Linked DNA regions of Oreochromis niloticus. The protein of the gene in region 2 interacts with the protein of the main gene of each other region in a biochemical or structural test. Links are inferred from orthologs where the notes say so. Each region holds a gene or a part of one and is shown on either strand. Other genes may lie near its edges.

Evidence for each region.
Region 1: the proteins of rab5c (region 2) and eea1 form a complex in vitro, tested with the Homo sapiens proteins (2 studies listed by BioGRID and IntAct, with this or other methods). The link is inferred for Oreochromis niloticus from reciprocal best matches to the Homo sapiens genes RAB5C and EEA1.
Region 3: the proteins of rab5c (region 2) and rbsn form a complex in vitro, tested with the Homo sapiens proteins (2 studies listed by BioGRID and IntAct, with this or other methods). The link is inferred for Oreochromis niloticus from reciprocal best matches to the Homo sapiens genes RAB5C and RBSN.

The regions. Positions count from the first base shown.
Region 1 is NC_031972.2:57,279,313-57,286,564, reverse strand, and holds the start of eea1 (early endosome antigen 1), read left to right. Parts: upstream 1-4,219; 5' UTR 4,220-4,234; coding exon 4,235-4,315; intron 4,316-4,583; coding exon 4,584-4,661; intron 4,662-4,781; coding exon 4,782-4,894; intron 4,895-5,011; coding exon 5,012-5,066; intron 5,067-5,152; coding exon 5,153-5,218; intron 5,219-5,329; coding exon 5,330-5,360; intron 5,361-5,386; exon of another isoform or gene 5,387-5,785; intron 5,786-6,096; coding exon 6,097-6,201; intron 6,202-6,401; coding exon 6,402-6,523; intron 6,524-7,252. UniProt on the Homo sapiens protein: Binds phospholipid vesicles containing phosphatidylinositol 3-phosphate and participates in endosomal trafficking.
Region 2 is NC_031969.2:26,577,444-26,584,790, forward strand, and holds the start of rab5c (ras-related protein Rab-5C), read left to right. Parts: upstream 1-4,209; 5' UTR 4,210-4,349; intron 4,350-7,347. Other genes in the region: kcnh4a (potassium voltage-gated channel subfamily H member 4a), read left to right, coding at 105-143, 579-934, 1,023-1,102, 1,242-1,315, 1,514-2,470. UniProt on the Homo sapiens protein: The small GTPases Rab are key regulators of intracellular membrane trafficking, from the formation of transport vesicles to their fusion with membranes.
Region 3 is NC_031984.2:14,555,103-14,562,717, reverse strand, and holds the start of rbsn (rabenosyn-5), read right to left. Parts: upstream 3,034-7,615; 5' UTR 2,894-3,033; intron 1,728-2,893; 5' UTR 1,602-1,727; coding exon 1,439-1,601; intron 600-1,438; coding exon 465-599; intron 370-464; coding exon 269-369; intron 184-268; coding exon 138-183; intron 46-137; coding exon 1-45. Other genes in the region: trh (pro-thyrotropin-releasing hormone), read right to left, coding at 5,158-5,780, 6,150-6,339. UniProt on the Homo sapiens protein: Rab4/Rab5 effector protein acting in early endocytic membrane fusion and membrane trafficking of recycling endosomes. Required for endosome fusion either homotypically or with clathrin coated vesicles.

The sequences.
Region 1 (7,252 bases), on a different chromosome or scaffold from region 2:
GATGTTGTATATTTGACTGGTGGCACACACAGTGTGCTGGTGATTTCCTGGAGGCGGTATGGGGAAGTGTTGGCTCCTGGAGGAAGCCTTATTCCCACAGTGACTCAGTGCCAAACAATGTGCCTCTGCAAGATGTTTGAAAAAGAGTAGCTGCAAGTCTGTCGATGGACTTTACAAACTGCTACCTTGGGAAGTTTGTGAGGAATTTTGCTAAAAGAGATGAGGTAAAGTCTGCAACAAGTGTGGACGGCATTGTTATTACTTCCTCAGCGCACACAGTATCATCTCTAAGCACTAGTGACACTGAACAAGCCTTAAATCATGTGTGTATATATTTGAATGCTCTCAATGTGAGTGAAAACTGAGTAAATTAGAGAAAAACTTCTATATAGTGAACTGAATCAAACAAGAAATGGCACATATCCTCAGAAAAACTATAATCTAGTGTATTAAGCAAATGTTTTATATAGTGTATCTGCAGAAATGCCTTAGAAGACTCTGACAAATCCTGCACAAAGTCTCCCATTAAGTGCCTTCACAAACACAAAGTAAATGAACAGAACAAATCAAGCCTTATACATGCTGTCAAAACAACCCAGTTTTTGGAAGCTGGGCTCCATAGGACAGAAGAAAAATGTGGGTTTGCTTTTACGACCGAGGGTGCACAGTGACTGAATTTATGTTCCGCTGGGAAACATGGACCGAAAAGTATGACAGGAATTATGGTCATCTGATTCTATTTGATGCTTTGCTTTAAACTTTAATCCAGTTTCTTCACAAGTCAATATTATTGTTTTTATTTGTTGCTTTTTAATTGTCCACATTTAGGCTTTTGCTTCAGAACATAATCATATATTTATATATTTTTTTAAAAGTAAGTTTTTCATCTTTTTTCTCCCTGTGATTAGTTTGGGCTTAGTGTTTGGACTATACCATTAATACCAGGCTGTAGACTACTCCCTCTGGTGGCAATGGTACAGTCCAACCACAAGCACAAAGCATAGAAATGGAAAATTAAATTAAGTATGCAAAGAAGGGGGGGGGGAAACTGAAGCAAACCCCCAAACGTGCACAGTTAAAAATCAAACTGAGAGTCGTTTGTTTTTGGAGAAATAAACTGTAGATCGTGGAAATCTGTTTCTTTATGTGATTATTTTTGATGGTGCCTACTTCAAAGCGTTGTATTGTGCATGGTCCTTTAACTCCTGGGGGGGGAAGCTCAAATAAGGTCATAATTTAACTTCCTAGGGTACCATTGGCAGGAAAGCCCATCTAACATCTTTCCTCATCGTCCATGTGTGACTGGGATATTCTATTGTGTGGAAAATATTTAAATAAACACCGTTTAAAGATAATTACTATTGTGACAGATTTTTATTGAGTGCTCCAGAGCATGACGGCTCTTGTGTGTAATCCTGAATTTCACCAGGTTGTGTATCCTCCTGGTGCTGAGCCATCCTCTCCATGACCCGCCCATCCGTCGCTGCTGTTCCCCGAGTCCGGTCAGGTGTTCGCCGTTCACAGACGTAAACTTGGCATTTTGAAAACTGACAGGATTTCTTGACGGGACAAAACACAATCGAGGCTATGCTCAGACGGATACTGCAAATGGTAAGCTATCCGGGGGACAAAGCAATTATCAGGATCGATTTTTGTTTAGTCAACTGGAGACGTTTTCCTCAGAAGACACAGGCCTGTCTATGTCTGGTTTCGTGGTGGAGACGAATGTTTTGATACCGAACGTATCGCTGATGGGCGGGGTTTACGTTTAGCTAGTGAGAACTGGTAGGCTGAAGTTCCTGCAGGTCGGAGTGAATACATCGAGCGCTCCTTGCGTTGGGCTGACACAGCTAACCATCAAATGCTAACTTGGATAAAACGAGCATGCTAAAGTGGACAGGAATGAAACTAGTCTGTGGATTATAATATACTTAGATTTTATACCTCTCAAGCCTTATTCCATTATGGGAGAGCTTTAAAAGCTGATATATTTGGTCACTGACACAGTTTCTATTCGTACTTTCCGTTAGCTAGCTATGTTACAGGAGTAGGTTAATTCATCGTCTTCTCGTCACATGCTAACAGTGACGTTAGCTACCTACTAGTGTTGGGAAGTGTTGTCATCTGGCTGACCACAACGTAGAAACACGTGTTTTAACCAAGTAAACACCCAAACTGTTCATGCTGGCAGGGTTAATTAAACTGGCTGCTTGTCTTTAAAGTTAATTGTGAGAGTAATGAGCAGAGGTCAGCTACTTGGCTAGCTTCTTAGAAGACTACATTTACCACAAGGCATCGCTCCTCGCGTTAGTTTGTATACATTGGTTAGATCACGATTTAAAAAAAATCTTTACCCATTCCGTTTTTATTTAGGTCGGTCCATTTTTAAAGCACTTAGTACTGTGTTGTTTTGTGTTTTTACACATTATCTGTAGCCTTGTAATCATTAACAGCGAAGCTGCAAGGACGGGAAGTTGTTAAGGCAGAAGAGGTTAAACATACCCGGAGACCTCGAACAGAGAGGTGAAGAAAAGTGCAGGCAGGGTGGAGATAAGTGTCAGGGCTGATTTGGGACAGAAGCATGGCAGGAAGACTGAAAAGTCCTATTATAAGATGGTAATAAGAGACAGTGGGACTGACAAAAAGGCCACTCAACCTGCAGGTCTCCAGGTTGAGTGGTTTGGAGACAAAGTTAGAGAGAAAAGGCTGATATAGTTTGGATATGTTGAGTACATGCAGAGGGTTGGTGCAACAGAGGGGGATAGTATGGCTAGGGTAAGATGAAGGTAGATGATCCCCAATGGCAAGTACTAAAGGGAGCAGCCAAAATAAGAAGTAGCAGCTTTGTAACCGTCACCACCTTGTGGCTATTATTATGGGTTAATAGGACTAAAGGGAGACATACTCTGTTTAGAGAAGACAGTTCACATCTCACCCCTTTTTATATAAGAGAAGTTGCTTTTGAACCACCTTATTTACAGAGTGATTAGACACTCAGGTAATTTTATAGGTTCAAATTCTTATCAGGCTACAAGATACTGATTGCAGTTCATTTTATAACTTTGTCATGTCACAGTTGCAACACCACCCCTGACCTTTAGGAGATTTCAACAGGTTTTAACAGCAGTTTAAAAGTGTACTAAGATGACAGATATTGTATTTCCAGTCCATTTCAAAACAATGTATAATAATAATAATTCCACTGGTAATGCAGTTGCTATTATTGAAGAAGGCCAGTAGTATAATTAAATTTTGTGTATTTTTTAATGTATGTATATATTTTTGAGGCTAGTAATATTACATAACACACACACACACACACACACACACACACACACACACACTAACACTGTTTATTGAACTAGGGTCAAAGGTTGCTCCGTAATGCAACCCAACCCTTAAGTGTTTTGTCAGCCTTTAAACAAGCTTGGGTCAGTCTTTGCTGAATGCCCAACTTGCACAAACACTAATTTTGACTTCTTTCATTCATGTCACCTGCACCAATAAATCCTTTTTGTGAATGGAAAACCTGCGGAACACCTAGCTAATGTGTTTGTTTTTCAGGCCAGTGGGCTAAAGCCTTGCACATTTCATGAAGTCACAGAAAATTTGTAAACACATATGTCAAATAGTTATTGATATGCAATAACACAGGAAAGGCAGGTAGTCTAGGTAAATCATTGCTGCTTTTAAAACCGAATCTGTGACTGAAGCATAACCACACCAGCACCACAGCGTCATACATGTGAAATGCTGGAAGCACTGATAGGGACTGTACAGGGAAAATCAGTCATGGGGAAATGTAAAAAATATTTCCTAGCCAGATTACAAAGTGTGCTCCTGACATGACACTTAGCATTGAGATCAAATAGTTCCTTCTTGGTTAGTTAGATGTTGTTTCTCACAGTCGAGGTAATTTCTTTCTCCAGGCAGCTTTCACGTGTTTCTTGCTAGAAAGGCTTCTGTCTTGCCTCTTTATCATGAAGCCCAGGTGCCCGATAGCTTACTTTGGCCTTAGCAGTTAGGGCTAGAATGACTCTTGGGGTTCTAAAAATCTTCCCTTGAAGAAGTGTCGAAGCTCCAGATCAGTGCCTTAACACAATCCTAGTTCCACATGGTCAGGTTATGCATTGGTTAGCACTGTTACACAGTAAGAAGATTCAGGGTTTGAATCTCCTGGTTGGCTGGGACCTTTCTATGTGGAGTTTGCATGTTCCTCCTACAGTCAAAAGACATGAATGTTAGCTTGGCTGTGGAAGTGATGAAGATAATTTGCTTAGAGGTGCATAGAAGAACTCACGGATTGAATGTATGGGTAAATGTGACTTTAGGTTCTTTAATATGTAAGACTTTACATAGACAGATATGTGCCTTTGTTAGAGATTATTAACTACTATAAATATTACAGATGAAGAGAAACACGAGTCACCTCAGTTATATTTTAAATCTTAAAACAAATGGTGTTGTTAATACTTATAACAATGTGATTTCAATAGATCACATTGTTATAAGTTTTGGACTTTTAATTTTGTCACATTGAGGTATTGAGCTTCAACATAAAAGACTTATTAACTGTTCACCAGACTCCCGGGAAGGGAGGGTCCCAGAATGCAGAGTCAGAGCAGCCCAGCACCGACCTTAACCACGATCAGACATCTGAGGTAATGTGGATGCACTTTGCTTTTAACTGAGAACTTCTACTTAAGTTTTTTTAGTTTTTGCTGTCATATGTTTTTTTTTAACTGAAGCAGATTTCAATGATGACATGCTTCTGTGTGCAGGGCTTCATCTGTCCTCAGTGCATGAAGTCTCACAACTCTGCAGAGGAGCTGTTCAAGCACTATGAGCTGTTCCATGATACCGGAGAGCTCCCTGCTCACGTGGCCCCCACTAGGTGAGACGGGTATTAGCATTTATGATCAAAGCGTAGAGACTGACCTCAGTATGTTTGTGGCAGTGTTTAATTTACTTGTTTTTTTTTTAATCAACATGGTATTTTTTTCTCTATTAGGGAAGACCTCACAATGCTGCGGCAGGAGGTCCAGGACCTGCACGCTTCTCTCAAGGTATAGCTGCGTTTAAACAGTACCTGTTAGCGAGCGGTGTAAATGATTCTGCAAACTTGACTTATGAGTGTGTTTTTCATGGTTAGGAGGAAAGATGGTTCTCTGGGGAGCTAAAAAAAGAGTTAGACAAAGTCCAAGGACACCTGAAGCAGGTAAATGCTTCAAGATTAAAAAACAAACAAACATGTTTTAATGAAGAGGTGACTTTGTGAATATAAAACATGATGCTAATGAGTGTTTCTCTCATTCCCTCACGTCCGCAGAACGATGGGCAGATGAGCGCAGATGATTCAGGTAGGGGACCTGTGATGGACCGAGCAGTGAAAGAGACTTAGGCACAAGTTAAAGTCCAAAGAAATGATTTTTTATTTAACCCAAAAAACATAATTGGTTAAATCATGCAAAAAGAATCAAAATCTTGGGCCCATAAAAGAGGTCAAAATAACAGAACTCTACTCAAAATTGACAACACTACTGATAACTCAAACAAACTGACCTAACTTAACGAGACAAAGGGGAAACTTAAATAGTAGCTGATCAGCCCACAAAAAACACGAGAAGGGGTAAAACACACAAAACCAAACATAATGAACTCCAATCCCCCCCCCATGGTCCCGAGTTATGGCATGAACCAATTTGCAGTTTTCCTTTAAAGCTCGCTCCGCCCCTTTTCCACCTCTTGGCTCCTTAATCAAGGGACTGGAACAGCTGCAACTAAGGTAACTCAGAAAACAAAAGATTAATCATACATAACAGTGTAAACTAAAATGTGCGCACTTATTTTAGAATGCAGTGTTATGTGGATATGTGAATTAATTGTAAACCAAAACCAGTTATTTATTGTCCTTTAAATTAATTCCTATATTTAAAGAAAGACAAATGTGAATGCAATGTTACTTATAAGCCTCTACACTAACATGGTGGATATTACCACTGTGTGGCTGTAAGTGCAGCCATCACAGGACCCTTAAAGTGCACATGCAACTAGACAGCAGATCATCAGTCGCTAATATGTCATGCTGTTTTTCAGTACTTGAAAGGAAGCTGAATGAAGCTGAGACAGAGAAGTTCAACATCAAACAGATGAAAGACCTGTTTGAGCAGAAGGCTGCCCAGCTGGCCACAGAGATAGTAGGTTAGTGTTCGGCCGGACAACTGGGAGGCCTGTGTCTGTGGGTCTACATCATTATTTATTTATTTTTCTTTTACAAATCCATTTGTCTTTATTCAGATTTTTTTTTTTTCAACCCAGCCTCAAGGAATGAGTATTTTCTCGGATAAATCTGATAAAAAAATTTTGTTTGTTTTTATTTTTTCCATTACTGAATCCAACAGATTTGAAGTCCCGTTACGATGAGGAGAAAAGCCTCCGGGAGGCTGCTGACCAGAGATTAGCAAAGTTGAACGAACAACTGCAGGAAGCGAAGGAGGAGAACGAGCGACTCCAAACAGAGCTGGTACAACAATGCGCTCCAAGTACCTTTTGTTATTTATTCTGTTCTCACGAGTAAATGTTTTCTTTAGAGTTTGACCTCCACAGTGAATTCAGTTTGACTCTGAGCTGTGTTCCTGAAGGATCAACACAGGCCCTGTCCACACATTTGTCAAAGATGTGTTGAAAAAAATGGAATCTTAAAAAAGTTTTATCACCAAAAAAAGTAAACTGGCCCCGGCAGTAGAGTCGTGTGGTTCAAACATATAATTATGCTCATTGTCCTATGCCGTCTGGCCTGAACGGGTGTTAACTGTTCCAAGTGGTTTAAGGAAGCTTCACCCAAAAATGCAGCTAGGTCCTTTTTTTTGTGTCTCTACATCATTTCAGTGGATTTTAAATCAAACTATCAATATGTGATATAAGTGTAGACTTACAGCTTTAATTTAAAGGGCTTAATGAAAAATGTGCATTACCTGTTTAGAAATGACAGCCATTTTTATTCATATTCCCCCATTTTCATAAGATCAAAACAATTGGAAAATTGATAAATAGCTTCATGGTCAGGTGAGGCCTGTTCTCTGATTATTCCACGACAAACTAAGCAGGTGAAGAATCTCGAGTTGATTTCAGGCATTGATCTTAGCTTTGATAGCCTTTCATTCAAACTCTCAATATCAGGTCCATAGAGATTTTGGCGCAAGTGAGGGAGGCTATAATTAGGTTTAAAAACCCAGATAAAAGCATTAGAGAG
Region 2 (7,347 bases):
CAGAATATGGTGTACAAACATACCTATGCTATACGCGACACTTTACATGTTCAGTTTACAATGTGAGTGTAATGCTTTGTTCATTTTCACCTCCATACCTTTAGGGAGTAACACGGTTTCAGCTGACACCCAGGCAGTCTCAGGTATGTCTGCCTCATTAGGATGATTAATTTAGCCTTGACATGCTTGATACAGGCGTCAGCTAAATCTGTCTTAGCTTAAAGGATTAGTCAGCCTTGCATTGCATTTGAAAACTTAGAACTCTTGATAAATGTCATGTAGATATGAAAACACTTAAAATGCCTTTTTTTATAGCTGAGATAACAATGCTCCAGTTGCTGCTAGGTAACAGAGAGAAATGAAGCAAACAGCATACACTATATATGGTTTCTACACTCTAGTCATCAAGAAAAAACACTAAGCTTAATTAAAACTATCCTACAAGAGAAGTATTTCTGACACTATCAAGATCACTAGACTAAGAATTTTTGTAGCAAACAAATCTATTACCCAACCAAAAAGCATGCACAAATCTTTGCAATCAGCTTCATTGAGTTTTCCATCTGTTTTCTCCTCAGTTTATGGATCATAAACTACCCTATATCATTCAGGGAGCTGATGCAAAACACACAGACAACGTAAATTACTCTCAGCACCGGAGACTGCCTTTACTACAGAGTATGGGCAGCCCTGTCCATCAACCCTGCCTCAGCACGTTGCTAGGCGAGGAGCTCCGGCACATCAGCGCACTGCAGCTCTGCCGATTGCCTGCTCAGGGAAGCAGGGGTTGTAGTCCTTCCCCACAACCTTTTTTCAGTGAGGAGCTCTCTCCATCTCCTTTACCCAGTCTTACCAGTGACCTAGACTTGAACCATCGGCCTGCCAAACTCATGCCATCTGGTTCTTGTATTAGTCCTCTGAACCTCAGTCCCAGGTGACCTATTCATTCTCCTTTGGTCAAATATCAATAATCTGTTTGCATATATTTAAATGAATATAACACCCATTTGTCTTACTGTCAGGGTCGTGGATGGAATTGAGGATAATGATCACACATTTCAGTTTAATATGGAACAGAGCGAGGCAAAGACTAATGTTGCAGGTAAAGTGTCTGAAAACTGCATGATTAATGAGAAATTGTAAATATAAGCCTTTCTATTAAGGACTAGACATTAAATATAACCCAAAGTCGGGACAGATTAGATGAGTTTCTCACTTTTTAAAAAATAATCCTCTTTCAGATCGGTTACACGTCTGTAACCTGCTTCTTGAGACAGAAGAAATGAGACAGAGCGTCAGCAAACTGAGCAAAGAGGTATGTTCCCTTATTAGGCAAAAGCGCTGCTCCTTGAAATATGCCCAAATGTGTTTTGTGAGGACACAGTAACCTTTACCTTTGAACAAGAAAATCTAATCAGTTACAGCTTGAATTCATATCAACTTAACATGATAACAGTTACTAATAAACAGTTAACAGTTTTGAATAAAAAGTCAATTTTTCTCACTCTTTCAGGTAATTAACTTAAACCAAGATGTTTCCAACCTTGCCAAGGAACTCCATGACATAATGCATTTTCTGCATTCTCATATGACAATGCTCCACAATAACTCTCCAGCTTCCACATGTTCATGTGGCACTCAGGTGCTCCCCAACCCAAGTGTGACAACGTGTAGCCACTGGCAACCGGATGTCCCTTTAAATATCTCCACTGGGTTACCAACTGTTCATGAAATGATTAGCCATCCTGCTAGAAATACATGGCACTCCAGTGGAATACCCTCCCAGTGCACAAGTTCCGCCTTGCTGTACTCGTCAAGCACAATGCCATCCTGTTCACACCTGGGCTGCTCTGACAGAGACACAACTCAAAGGCTTCAGTGCTTCTCTAGCCCTTTCCAAACACCCAGAACATCTCCAGGCTCTCCCTACATGACCTTCTCTCATGCCCATGGAGGTCCATCCCTCCTGGGCATCAGTTCTGCCTTCAGTGGCTACCCATTAAGTTGTCAGGCCTCACACATGGTTAGTAGTGCACAAATCCACACAATAAGCAGCACCCACTCCTTATGTTCTACGGTAAACTGTGGCTACTCCCAGCCACCCCTAAGTGTTCAAACCAACTCGGATTCTTTACATAATCAGACCAAATCCCAGACACCTATCCATTTATCCACCACTCCTTCAGCCCAACCACAGTATCACACTGCCTTCAGCTCTTTGACGCCATCAAGAGCCCACACTTTGATATACACAGGATACGAGGACCAGCGAGGTACTGTCGAAGGCTCCAGACAGAATGATCCAGTAGGATCCAGTCCTGTCCACCAAACACAGGACCTGGCAAGTTCTCTGATGGAGCAAGTACCAAACATGGACTGCAAAGCTTCACTGTATAAAGAGAGGACAGAGACCATGGAGTCTCATTCCACAGGGGACAGCATTCTTGATATGAAAGAAAGGCCACACTGATGACATCCCTATCTGGTTATGCTATCAGTGAGTAAATAACAAAGCTGATGTAATGTTTAGAGTACCTTACCAAGAAATCTGGTGTGAAGTTTGAAATTAATAAATTGTTATTTAGCCAAATTCTCAATCAACTATTGGAATCCAACTGCCACTACAGAATAAACCTTTTTTTCCACTGATGGTTCTTGTGTTTTTATCTGGCATTAATAATGTTTGTGAATTCTGGTTGAGATTAAGGCATGGTCTGCATATATCATAGCTGAAGCAATCTTATTTTCAAGCCATACACTCTCACTCAAGCATTCAATGCAAAATTGTTTGACTAGTTATTCATTTTATTTGTTTATTTATTTTTTTCTATCAAGTGAATTGTCACTGCTGTATTCATCCACAAAATGTTTCCAGGGTTGACTTAGAAGCCACAAGTGGATGGGCAGCACCCCTGAGTGGTGATATGTCGTTACTACAACAAACACAAGACTGACATTTCGTCACACTGAGCTCAAAATAACTGATCTGAGTCAGATATGGCCTTTTGGAGCCACAACCAAGCTTTTGACCTGTAGAATGATGTAAAATATTCCTGAAACATGTTAATCATATTTGACCAATCTTGGTCCAACCAACCTGGCATATAGCAATGACATTTTCTACAGACTGCTGAAAAACCTTGATATTGTTATTCATTGGTAGTATCATGGCAGATATATTTATGTCCATGTGACTCTTTAGCATTTAACAACAATTCTGAAATTAATAATATACTGAGGGGCATCATGTAAGATTTTGTGTCATTAGTCCAAGCAAAGAAGGCCATTCTTTCACTATTAATTAATCTTTTGTTTTGAACATGTAAAGATGCAAGAAGAGATAGTGAAAGTTGGTGAGTTTAACAATGAACAGTGCCCATTAGTGGTGAAGAAAAATGAGTAGGCAGGTTAGAGTGGGTGGAAATGAGTGACAGGTGATTTGTGACAGAAGGATAGCAACAAAAGTGAAAGGAAACATTTACAAGATGTTAGTGTTTGGAGATGGTGGCACTTACAAAAAGGCATGAGGTTGAGCTGGGGGTGGCAGAACTGAAGATGCAAAGATATTCATTGGGTTGTAACCAGGATGGACAAAATTAGAAATGAGTATATCAGAAGGACAGCTTAGATTAAGTGGCTTGGATACAAAGTTAAAGAGGCAAGGATGTTTTGGACATATATAGAAGAGGATAGTGGATATACTGGGCAAACACTGAGCTGCCAGGCAGGAGGAGAAAATGAAGCCCACAGGAGAAGATTCATGTAGTGAAGAAAGATATGCAGAGGATTAGTGTGACAGAGGAGGATGCTAGGGATAGGGTGATGTGGCGGCAGATGATGTGGCGACCCCTAAATGAAGAAGCCAAAGGAAGATGAAAATCATACATACAGTTCGACATTGGAGACATCACAAGGATCATTAAAAATATTAGTAAAAATTTAAAAAGGATCCTTCTTTATGAAAGCAGCTTCCAAGCTTATCCCAAGCTTATTAAAAATATTACGCTAAACAAAATTTGTTACAAATTTTCACGCCATTTGAAAAGCACAAGTTTTATTGTCAGTGTACATAATTTTCATAAACACCATATCATTATATTATAATTATATTCAAATTAACATCATTTAAGATGTTATTTATGACTAGATATTATAAAACCTTGATAAAAATGCCGTGCTGCGGACTGGAGGGTCTAGCGTAACCCGCTGTCCTCATTGGTCAGAAAGCCACTGACAAAAAGTGGGAGGTTCCCGGAAAAATTGCTAACCGGAAGGGAAGGCCGGAGCCCAAGAAGAAGAAGAAGAAGACAGCTGCTGCCGATGAGACCAGCGAAGGAAGAAAAAGTAATGTAAGTAAAACAACTTGAAATTAAGAGTCATGTTGGTGAAGAGCAATACTGAACGTGTGTTGGATTATTTTGTCGACAAACTGTTTACTATAGTTTGATCTATTTTGTTATTATTATTTTTTTCTGCTTAGCATATCAGCCAAGTCCGGGCTCAACCGAAATGCCTTATCAGAGTGGATCGAGGGGAGCTACGAGCTGCCCTGTGGGACAAACATTCTAAATATTGAAAAAAATATTAATGCCACGGCAGAGCCCTGAGGTTGCTTAGAAAAATATGACATCGTTTCATGCCAGCAAGTGGACGCAATAAGAAGTCCCGGAGTTTCTCAAACGTCAGACGGCTGACGACACAGGGCCGAGAAAAGGAAAGTTGTCTAATGACGCTTTCGACTTTTGGCCATAGCTGCTAACACAGCTAATGCTATCAGAAGTCAAGTTTCCTTGCCAAGAACATAGCCTTTGTTTTCTTTGTCAGTTTAGGCTAGCAAATGGGTGCTATTGCCAAGTAAGCAACAAGGTTGATTCTTTCACGTTGTGTAGTCAGCGTTAATTTTGTTAGCCAAGTGCTTAGTGGAACTCACAAGTTACAGTTGTGTCGTCTACGTTAATGATAGCGGTTCCTTATCGCACCTAAATGTAACGTACCGTTTTAGCCAAGACAGGTGCATTGTTGTTTGATAGTTATTTTATCGATTGTTTTGAAGCAAGCCTTACCTTTACAGTTTAAGTTGCCTTATCATTGTGCTTAACCCGGCGTCGACCGAGCAAAACTTCTCACTTACTTTGAAATATTAGTTGTAGATTAACTAACTTAATATGTTACGTTCCTGCCACCGGTTAAGTGTTTAATAACTGGTTTTATGTGCGAGGTCTAGGCTCAGTCGAGGCACATCACAGTCGTCTTATGTTCTCTAAATTAGATGTACTATCAAGGCAGCTGTAATCTCTTTTCACAATCTTGTGCTTTTTATTATCAGTTGCATTTGTGCATCACATAGTGTGACAGAGTAAATGTGCGTACATAGTCTCTTGCTTACCTCTGAAGTTGTATTTATGGCAGTGCCTTCTCATCATTAAAATGTCATTACTGCTGACTTTGTGGTGTAACATCCGCATATTGCATCGTTGGGGTTGTTATGTGCCTGCACGTGTGTCTTCTTGCATTTAACAGCAAATACTTTTTTTGTATGCTGTGTATCTTCACAGTGTATGTTTATGGCTTAATAAGGGGAACGGAGCTTGGCCTTTGAGACAAAGATGTGATTTACAGTTGCTTGCCTGAGCTCTCATGTTTATGGCATGTGGACCTTGTCCTTCTTAAACAGCCACTCTTTTTGACAACCCAGCCCTAAAATAAAGGAGGACTGCAAATTAGTTGAACACTAGTATGGATAACATTTGGGTGCTATGTTTTGGCATTGCCTTTAAAGTTGTAAGTTGTTGTAGTTAAACGGACAGCTGGATCTACTAAGTGTCACTCAATCAACTAGACTCCATTTTTGAGTAAATCTGTGTAAAGGATCAAATATCAAATCCCATTATTTAACAATTCACTTAAAATCATTTGAAGTCATAAAGGGGACAAAGTCTGTTTTAAACAATTTGATGAGATAAAAGGTCTCAGTTTGGGATCCATCTGACCATCCATACAGATATGATTGTATTTTTCATTTCAGTTAGATTTTAAGAGAGCTTTCTTTTTTCTTATTGCTATAATTTTGGTAGGTAAAGATCTGACCTCTGGCTAATGCTGATTTTAGGCTTAGTGACTAAGGTTTTCACTCATTCATCACAATAGGGGGGGAAAGTGCCAGTGATGCTCGTGATGAGTGTGGTGTTTGCTTTTCCTGTATTGTGTCCACACATTCCCATCTAAAATCACAATGCCAAAGCTATTCTTTGTTTTTAACCCCCCCAAACTGTAAAAGAACCTATCTTGGATTCAGAGCATTTCCTGTTTCTTTCGAGTTCCCAAGTATGGCGCTGCTTTTCAATCTTTGTTTACAACCTAGGACAAACTATTACCTTTGGCGGCAATAGATAGGCCTTTAATATATGCTCATGTGTCCATGCAAATTTGGACACAGCCATCTGTACAAGCAGATGAGATTATAATCAAAAGACAAAAGTATGGTCATGCAGCCCCTCATCAGATACCATTTTTGCACGACCCCACCCTTCAAATAAAGTGAACTGCACATGTCTCTGCTTGCCTTCTTAATTACAGTGTTTTGGTGGCAGGTTGTTAATCTAGTTTATAAATTGAATGTGAAAGTGATTTTCTTTTATTAAAATCTAGTCTGAAGATCATACTGTCCAAGCAAACCAAAATTTATTAATTACAAAATGTCATTTTTAATTGTGTGACCAGGAATGGAGGATTAATCCTGTTATTTTCCTTCTGCAAATATGGTCTTCTGAGAAATGGTGTTAGGGTGTTAGGTGACACCTTGTTTTCTGCATAAGAAGAGCCTCGATGATGCACTAGTACAACAATACAAAATCTTCAAATCTAGCAGTCACAAAAACACTTGTAAACTGGTCATAGCAGCTGGTAACCTGATCTTTCTGCTTAATTTTTCAGTATAACTAATGTTTAACGATACCTAGAGTTTGTTCACGGAGCAAAAGCAATTAAAAAAATGTTTTCATTACTTCTTTGACTGTTTAAACGTATTTCATTTGTGCATGCATTCTCCAATTTAGATTGCAATAAACCGCAATCACTAAGTTCTTGGATATTATGCCAGCAGCAGAACATACAAGGGGGCCACAATAAATATTTCACAGCCTCTCCCTCTCGTCTGTTGCTTTTTCCTGCCTTTTCTCCTCCCCCTCTGACCTATGTCCCACTGTCTCTCGTTCCCTGACCCACTTCCCTGTGGAGGTTTGCAGTACCCATTAGGGATGCCATCACAGCATCCGTCAGATGCTGCTTAAGATGTGCGAAGGTCTCTATCAGTGTAACAAGGAGTCTCTGATTGCAAGCCTGTCAGCT
Region 3 (7,615 bases), on a different chromosome or scaffold from region 2:
GTACGTCTGAATCATTCACCCATGACACTACAGACTTCTCAATGGCTACAAAGAGGGATAAATTCTTATTATTTAAAATATTATATAAAGCACAGTTACATATGTAAAGAATATTCAGAATTATAATGAAAACTAACCTCTGATCTTAGCAGCATCTGAGTTGGCTCTGTCAAATGATGTCAGCTAAAACATCATAGTTTATGGTAAATGAGTTGCAAATTTATAAAAAAAAAAAAAAAATTGTCTAAATGAGGTAATGTAAGCAAACCTTTTCCAGTCTAATGATGAGCTTGTTGACCTCAATGACATAATGATCTATCCTGGCTGCCCGGTGCTTTTTAAACAAGTCCAGATGACTTCTAGTTACTCCTAAAAAGCAAAAGAAAAATATATTTCTTTAGTGTCTTGCATTAACAAATATTGTTGGTTAGCAGTGCTACAGATGACAGTTTTTGCAGTCTCACCCAATTCCTGAGGCTCCCACATGTATGGGTCCACTCCACCATAGTAGAAGGACTCATAACTGCCAGTATCCGGTCTGTCGTCCCCATCCCTCTTCAGCAGTTTATCTTTGGCTTTCTTTGCTTTCTGAACCAAACCTGAAAACAGTGAGACAATATCATGAAAATTGAAACAGTGTGTGAATGTATCCTGAATCTGTTATTCTTATGCTGATCCAGAGTTAATATTTATAATGACCACATTTTCAGTTTATTCATCCATCTTTCAACATGCGATTGTTGTAATCATGTTTTTCTATTTTCAAGTTCATTACAGTACTATTAATATGCAAATGTAGCCAACCTGCACATGCATCCTTCCAGCCTTTTCCTAATTCAATCATAATCCTATTATGTAGAAAGTTGCAGCAGCCAACACAGACTGCAAATTCAGCCTGACAGCAATTTCCTACAATCCAGTACAGCAGTATTCTTATACTCAACTGCACTGTTTAAAGGCGACCAATTATACTTCCTCTTTTATATGTAAATTGTGTGTACATATATATATATATATCCCCTACAAGCCACAAGATCAGACTGTAGACATTTTTTTCTACTCTTGGCTCTGTATGATGTAAATGAGAAGTACTTAATATGTTCATCTGCAGCACACAGCTCCTGTAGTGACCATATAAGACTCATCCACACTCTTAGGGGAAACTAAGCTTAAATTCTTCACTTCTAAAGGATAAACTTCAAGCTGACACAAGACCCAGTATAAGATAAACAAGAATACATTTAACTTGTGACTAGTCACACTAGCAGGGTCCACAAATAAAAATACTAAACTAAAAATGAATAATAATAGGTTTCCTTTCAAAAGCCCTTTTTTTTCCCAGACTAGACAGTACAATGTACGATTTTTGTGTCTTTAGAACACAACAGGAGTAAATTAGCCCTGTAGCAAAGAGTAAAACACAGAATCTGCTACTAACTTTTTAGCTGTCCCCGAACATGGCGGTCATCTCCAGAGTGCTCCTCTTCATAGTGGTCTTGGAGTTGGTAGAATGACTGAAGGTCCTTTAGGCACAGTGGGCAAAGAAAACCCTCCTTTACTTCACCTGTGCCCTCAAAGGGGGGCGGGTAGCTGGAGGCCATGACAACAAGCGTCAGTGCTGCTGCAGAGGGGATGCAAAGTGGCACGTTCTCACTTTGGGCCACATCTCATGGGGTGTGCAACCTACCCCACAGTAGCTCCATAATGCCTGAGAAAATCCCAGGACACTGAGGAATGAGAAAAGTACACTGAGGCCACATACAATACTGAACAAAAGACTTGAGCCACCCATCATTTATTTATATTTTGCAATGTAAAAACGTAGTTTGTACAATTCTAACAAGCTTGTAAGTCAATATTTGCTATGACCAATACAGGTCATAGCAATACAGGATGAACTCTCTTAGGCAAACGTTCTTTTAATTTTTTCGGTCATCTTCGGGAATTGTTCTCCACGCCTCTTGAAAGAAATTCAAGGCTCTTCTTTGTATGTTGGCTGTCTTTTGTTCTATTCTCTGTCAAAATTACCCCACACTGCTTCAATAATGTTTATGTCCAAGTTCTTCAGAGGCAAATCCATGATTGACAGTGTGTTTTTCTATCCAGGTATGCTTTTACTGCATTAGAGGTGTGTGTTTGGGATCACTGTCATCTCGAAAAATGAAGCCACTGCCAATCACACGCTTTCCAGATTCTATTGCATGGTGGCTCAGAATCTGGTGATGCTTTTTTGAGTTCATGATTCATTCCATTTTGCCAACGTCCCCAACACAGCTGGCTGAAATGCAGCCCATAATCATGGTTGTAGACGCTATTATACCTCTCCGTGGGACTCCTCCATATAAAATAATGATTTGATTCAGAACCAAAACCGCTACTCTGAGAAGAGAGAATGTTTGTATGCTTGAATGATCCATAAGTGTTAACTCAATTTTAAGCTGCTTAAAAAACAAAAATACATTCCTCTGAGAATGGTCAGGTACAAGGACTGGACTGAAAATTAATTTTAAAAAGCATTAAAAGATCTTCAGAAAGCGTGTAGGACCATTGCTCAAGACCACTTAAAAAATACATTAAAGTCCGGCTCATTGGATGAAAAATATAAAGGAATGAAGTGTGGCGCAATACTTACACACAGTATTGAACATCTAAAAAAATTAATACATTAATTAATACATAAATTTAAGGTAACAATATTGATTAGAATACTATTATGCACATTCAGATAAATTACTATTCCAACTGCATTATAATAGCTAAACTTAGCTTAAGTCGACCCACGTATTTAGCGGAAAAAAAACGCTTAACCGGACGGGAAGTATTAGGTTCCCTAGCTGCATACGAGAGGTGTTTCACTAAGTGATAGCTGGATACGAGCCATGAAAGGACTTACCTTTATTGTTTATTATTTAGGCTAACTTTGGGCGCCGTTATACCACACAGAGGATGTGGTGTTAGCAGGAGAAAGCTAGCAGCTGCTCTCGCCTTCTTTAGCAATCGTTTCTCCCCTCTCGCTGTTCAAAAACGCTACATTAACAAACTTCCAACTGCACAAAAGCAAACAAATACCTACTGACTATTGGACGCGATAAAAAATCTGCACTTAGCCTACAATTGAGCCTGACAGTAGCTGTGTTATTGACAGTTTGCGTTTTCACTGACAGAAGCACAACAGCGCCAGCAGCCCTGCCTGGTCATGTGACTGACATCCAGTCGGTATGGAAGGAGAGGAGGGACAAAACTTGATTTTGCGGTTGGCGCTCCATCAGGAAACTTCTCCGCAATGTAAGTACATATTTGTTATATCCAACTTTTGGTTGTTTGTCTTTTGTGCAAACCTGCACTGCTACCGTAAATAAACCGTTTTTTAACTCTAACAACAGTTTGTTATTCCCGATGGAGGGGGTTGGGAAAAATTCAAGGCTGGATAACTAAGGGTGTGTTTTTTTGTGGTTGGGATGTGTGGTTGGGTTTGGCCAGCTTCATTAACTGCAACTAAGAGCCTTAAGGTAAATCCAGCTGTATTATGTAACCCTAGAACCTTCATTTGATCCAGTTTCAGTTTGTATAAGCTATAGGTCCCTAGTTTTATCCTACAGCCTTTTTTCACTCGTTTAAAACACAGTTTAAAGGCTACTTGGACTGTGCACTTAGCTGACTGGCATTTATTGACAAGAGGGTACAAAGCAATCCACGGAGAATAGGTGAATAGTATGGACTCCCATCTCAGTTTCGACCTGTCTCATGGGCTTCACAAAATGATATACTGTGCAAATATTAATTTTTGATTTTCTTTTTCAAGAGAATATTATTTAATATTCTTTTCAAGCATTTATTTCTTTTTTAATGAAATAATAATTTATTTAGTTAAATTACTCATTATCACTGTTGGCACCAAGAGCACAGCCTGTCCTGGTGGCTCACAAGCTGTTTTATTGGAAAGGCTCATAAACAAAAAATGATGCAATCACTAATACAACAGAATCTCTAAAATGTGTTTCAGCGCGTGTATGTCCTACACAACCAAAAGAAAGTCCAAAGCCACACTTTCTTTTCTGGTGCTCTAAAATAGCCTTTGTGTGAATTGTTCATCTATATATATATATATATATATCGCTCATTATATAATAAACACTTTGCCAGTCCACTGACACTTGGCTATTCCGCTAGAGTTGTGAGTGTGTGCGCTCAATTCGGCGAAACATCTCCAATATTAGGTCTCCATCGTTAACTCACATGCTTCATGAATAATTTGCATATTGATCAGGCTGGTGGACAGCTGCTCCCAAGGCTCTGATGGAATGAGCCCAATTAAGCTGGGGAGTGGATATCTGACACACTCTGCCTGTTATTAAACTGCATAAATCATTCTCTAAGAGGCTTAGGCAGGGTGACTACTTTGGACTACATACTAATTAGGCTTGTGTTGAATCAACAGTTTAATGGTGCACCATGAGGCATTGCATTTACTGGAACTAAAGCAAACCATACGTTTTTACCAATGCGTTTATTGTCCAACAAAAACATTGGTGGTTGACTTTAAGGCAAGGGCAGCTTTTAATTTACAACATTAGCTTCAAATTACGTAAACCATGCAGTAATGTAGAAAAATAAGCAGTGACACAATTTATTTGCTGTGATATTCATTATATTTTACATGAGTAGAAAATAATGAAACGCAAATCGAACAGAGGAGGGAGCTTTTATGTGTAAACATAGACACTTTAATTTGATCTTAATACAAGCTGAACTGACGAGCGCCTGTTGCCTCACAGAGGCAACATCGCTAAAACCATCTGACTAATGTTTTAATCATCTGCCTCAATGTAAGAATCAATAATCTCGTCAACTGAATGAATGCTATTAATAACGATAGCTATTAAAAGATCAACATATGGCACAAACTCTTCTGAAAGAAAAAAAACGTCTGTACAGCTATATAGTTATTCCAAAGTTTGGATGGCAATTACGCATGAGCTCTCCAAGAAAATGTCAGACAAATGGCTTGCGGTAATGATGTCTCAAATGTCTTCAAAAGAACAAGCGGTGGCACAAAAGGTTTAATGATCTTTTTTTCATTTTTTATAATTCATTGTGGTCATTTAATTTATACATTTATTTGTTTACAATACAGCGAAATACGCACTCCTGTCTAATCTACTCTCCATCCACTAAATCCTCATCCGGTGCAAACCTTTTACCCGGGTGTTGTCTCTTCTCCTCGGCGTGGCCCTTGTTAACGTTGTCTAAAAAGTCGAGCAGCAGGCTGGTCTTGCTGCAGCTCGCAGGGTCCAAAACGTCACACGGACTGTTTGTGCCTAAATCCGCACTCGAGTTATCCCAAAACCGTTTCCCAGGGTGCTGACGCTTTTCCATCTCAGCGAGGTCTTCTTCTCCATCCGCGTCCGCATCCCAGTCCCTGTCGCCGTCCTCATCCTCTAGAAGACGCTTACCTGGGTGCTGGCGTTTGCTGTGCAGCACCAGGTAACGCTTGCCTGGGTGTTGCCGTTTTGAAAGTTCACTGAGCAGGAGGATGGGGTTGTCAGAACTGTGACCCGCCGTGGAGCGCTTTCCCGGGTGCTGCCTTTTCTGCGGCTCTAGGAAAGAGTGCGTTTCATCTTCGCGCTTGCCCGGGTGCTGTCTCTTTTGAACATCAAAGTACTGTTCATCCTCGTCCTCTTCTCTCCTTCCTGGATGCTGCCGCTTCTCCAAATCATCACTATATCTCTTACCAGGGTGCTGTCGTTTTGTCACCCATTCTGGCTGAGAGTAATACCCGTCTGGAAGAAAACAAGAGAGGAAAGTAGCTCTTAAATGTTTCAGAAGTCACTGATTAAATCCCGGTTTCTCTCTACCGCGTGCGCAGATAGTCGAAATCCTGTTTCTTTGATTTTTTTTTTTTTTTTAATTATAAAGGAGACATATTCTCTTGCATTCCCGATGTTAACTGTTTATCAATTACTTAAACAAAAATGTTGCTCCAAGTGATTTAACCTGAAAAGTGCGCACGAAACTGTAAACTACTGAGAATGTGATGCAACTTTCAGGTACATCTAAGATATACCCGAAGTATCAGTATCGTATGAAATAAGATTTTATGACAAGTTTCTTAACTCAGAAAATAATTTTTTAACATGTGTTTTACGCACCATTTCTTCCGTCTTCATCCTGCAGCTTTTTGAGAATGGACCGTAACAGAAGAGTCTCTGCTCTCTCTAAAATAATGTCGTCTATGGTCTTTCGGTCAGTCTCATCCTCAGCAGACATGCTCTGCCCTCCAGACACCATCAAGTTGCAGACCGTTAGAGATGCAAGGATAAGCAGACATGTCGACTTCATGGTAATTTAGTTTTTCGTCTGAAACAGATCACGTTAGATAGGAAATATTAAAGAAAAACAATATTAACGTGGGTGAACTGGTTTGTTGTCTACTTTGCACCACTGTATTTAAGTCAATGTTGGGACCAGACGTTTCGTTTTTGAATAGAAATGAGACTTTTTTAAAAGTACAATTTTTATTTTTATTTTTTATCTTGAGAAATCCAGTTTTAGCAAAGCTGCTAACCAAGCCTTTGAGGCTTTGAGATCGCAGCAGCTTTTGAAGATTGGTTTTACAAAGAAATCTAAGAGAACTCTAAAGACTCACCAAATAAATATGAATAAAACATGATGCATGAGATCTATCCAGATCAGTTAAAGAACAACCCTTAACCAGCAGACATATTTACATTTCCAATGAGAGTAGTCTAAAAGCCTCACCTGGTAAAATATTGTCCTTTCCCCAGTTTCTGGCACTATCGGCAGTGATAATAGTTGCTTTCAGTCGCTCGCAGCAGTTGGTGACCTTAAAGGCCAAGTCTAGAGGTATGAGCAGATAACTTTCCGTCCCGGCATTTATACGATACGGTCACTGTCGTCACACCAACACTGGAGTAATTTTTCAGGATCCCTCGTCCCTATTGATGTCACCAAGTCGTGCGCAACTGGATATGGTGAATGGTCGGCCAATAGGAGCTTCTGCTCAATATATATATATATATATATATATGTATATATATATGTGTGTGTGTGTGTGTGTGTGTGTGTGTGTGTGTGAGTGTGTTCAGTGAAATGTAAACAAAAACAACAATAACAGCAAAAAACAAACAATGACAGAGACTAACAGAAGGTAGGATTTGTGTGAGATTTATGTGATGAATATATGAAAATAAAATAACTTTATTTTTAAAATTTGCGAAATTCAGTTGAGTGTAATGCACTAGTTTATAATATATATACGTCTCTGTGTGTATTCCGTGCTTTTTTCATTTTATTTTAGTATGTACTGTTTTTACTGCTACTCTTAGATGATTACAAAAATGGTCAGTATCTTATCATAAAATGTGGACATCTCCTATGGTGTGCCAACGAGGGCTGTAGCGAGATGTGGGCTATTCATGCTTTTCTTAAATACCCTTAGGTCATGGGGCTCAGGAGGGTGGGCTCACCCCATCTGGTTCTTCTGAGCACATACTGTATAGCCTAATGCGGTTTCTGGTCACGAAGCAGCAGCGCTGAATGTATCAGAGGTGGGTCTAACAAGTTTTACATGGCTGAGTGGGATGTTGACTCACTA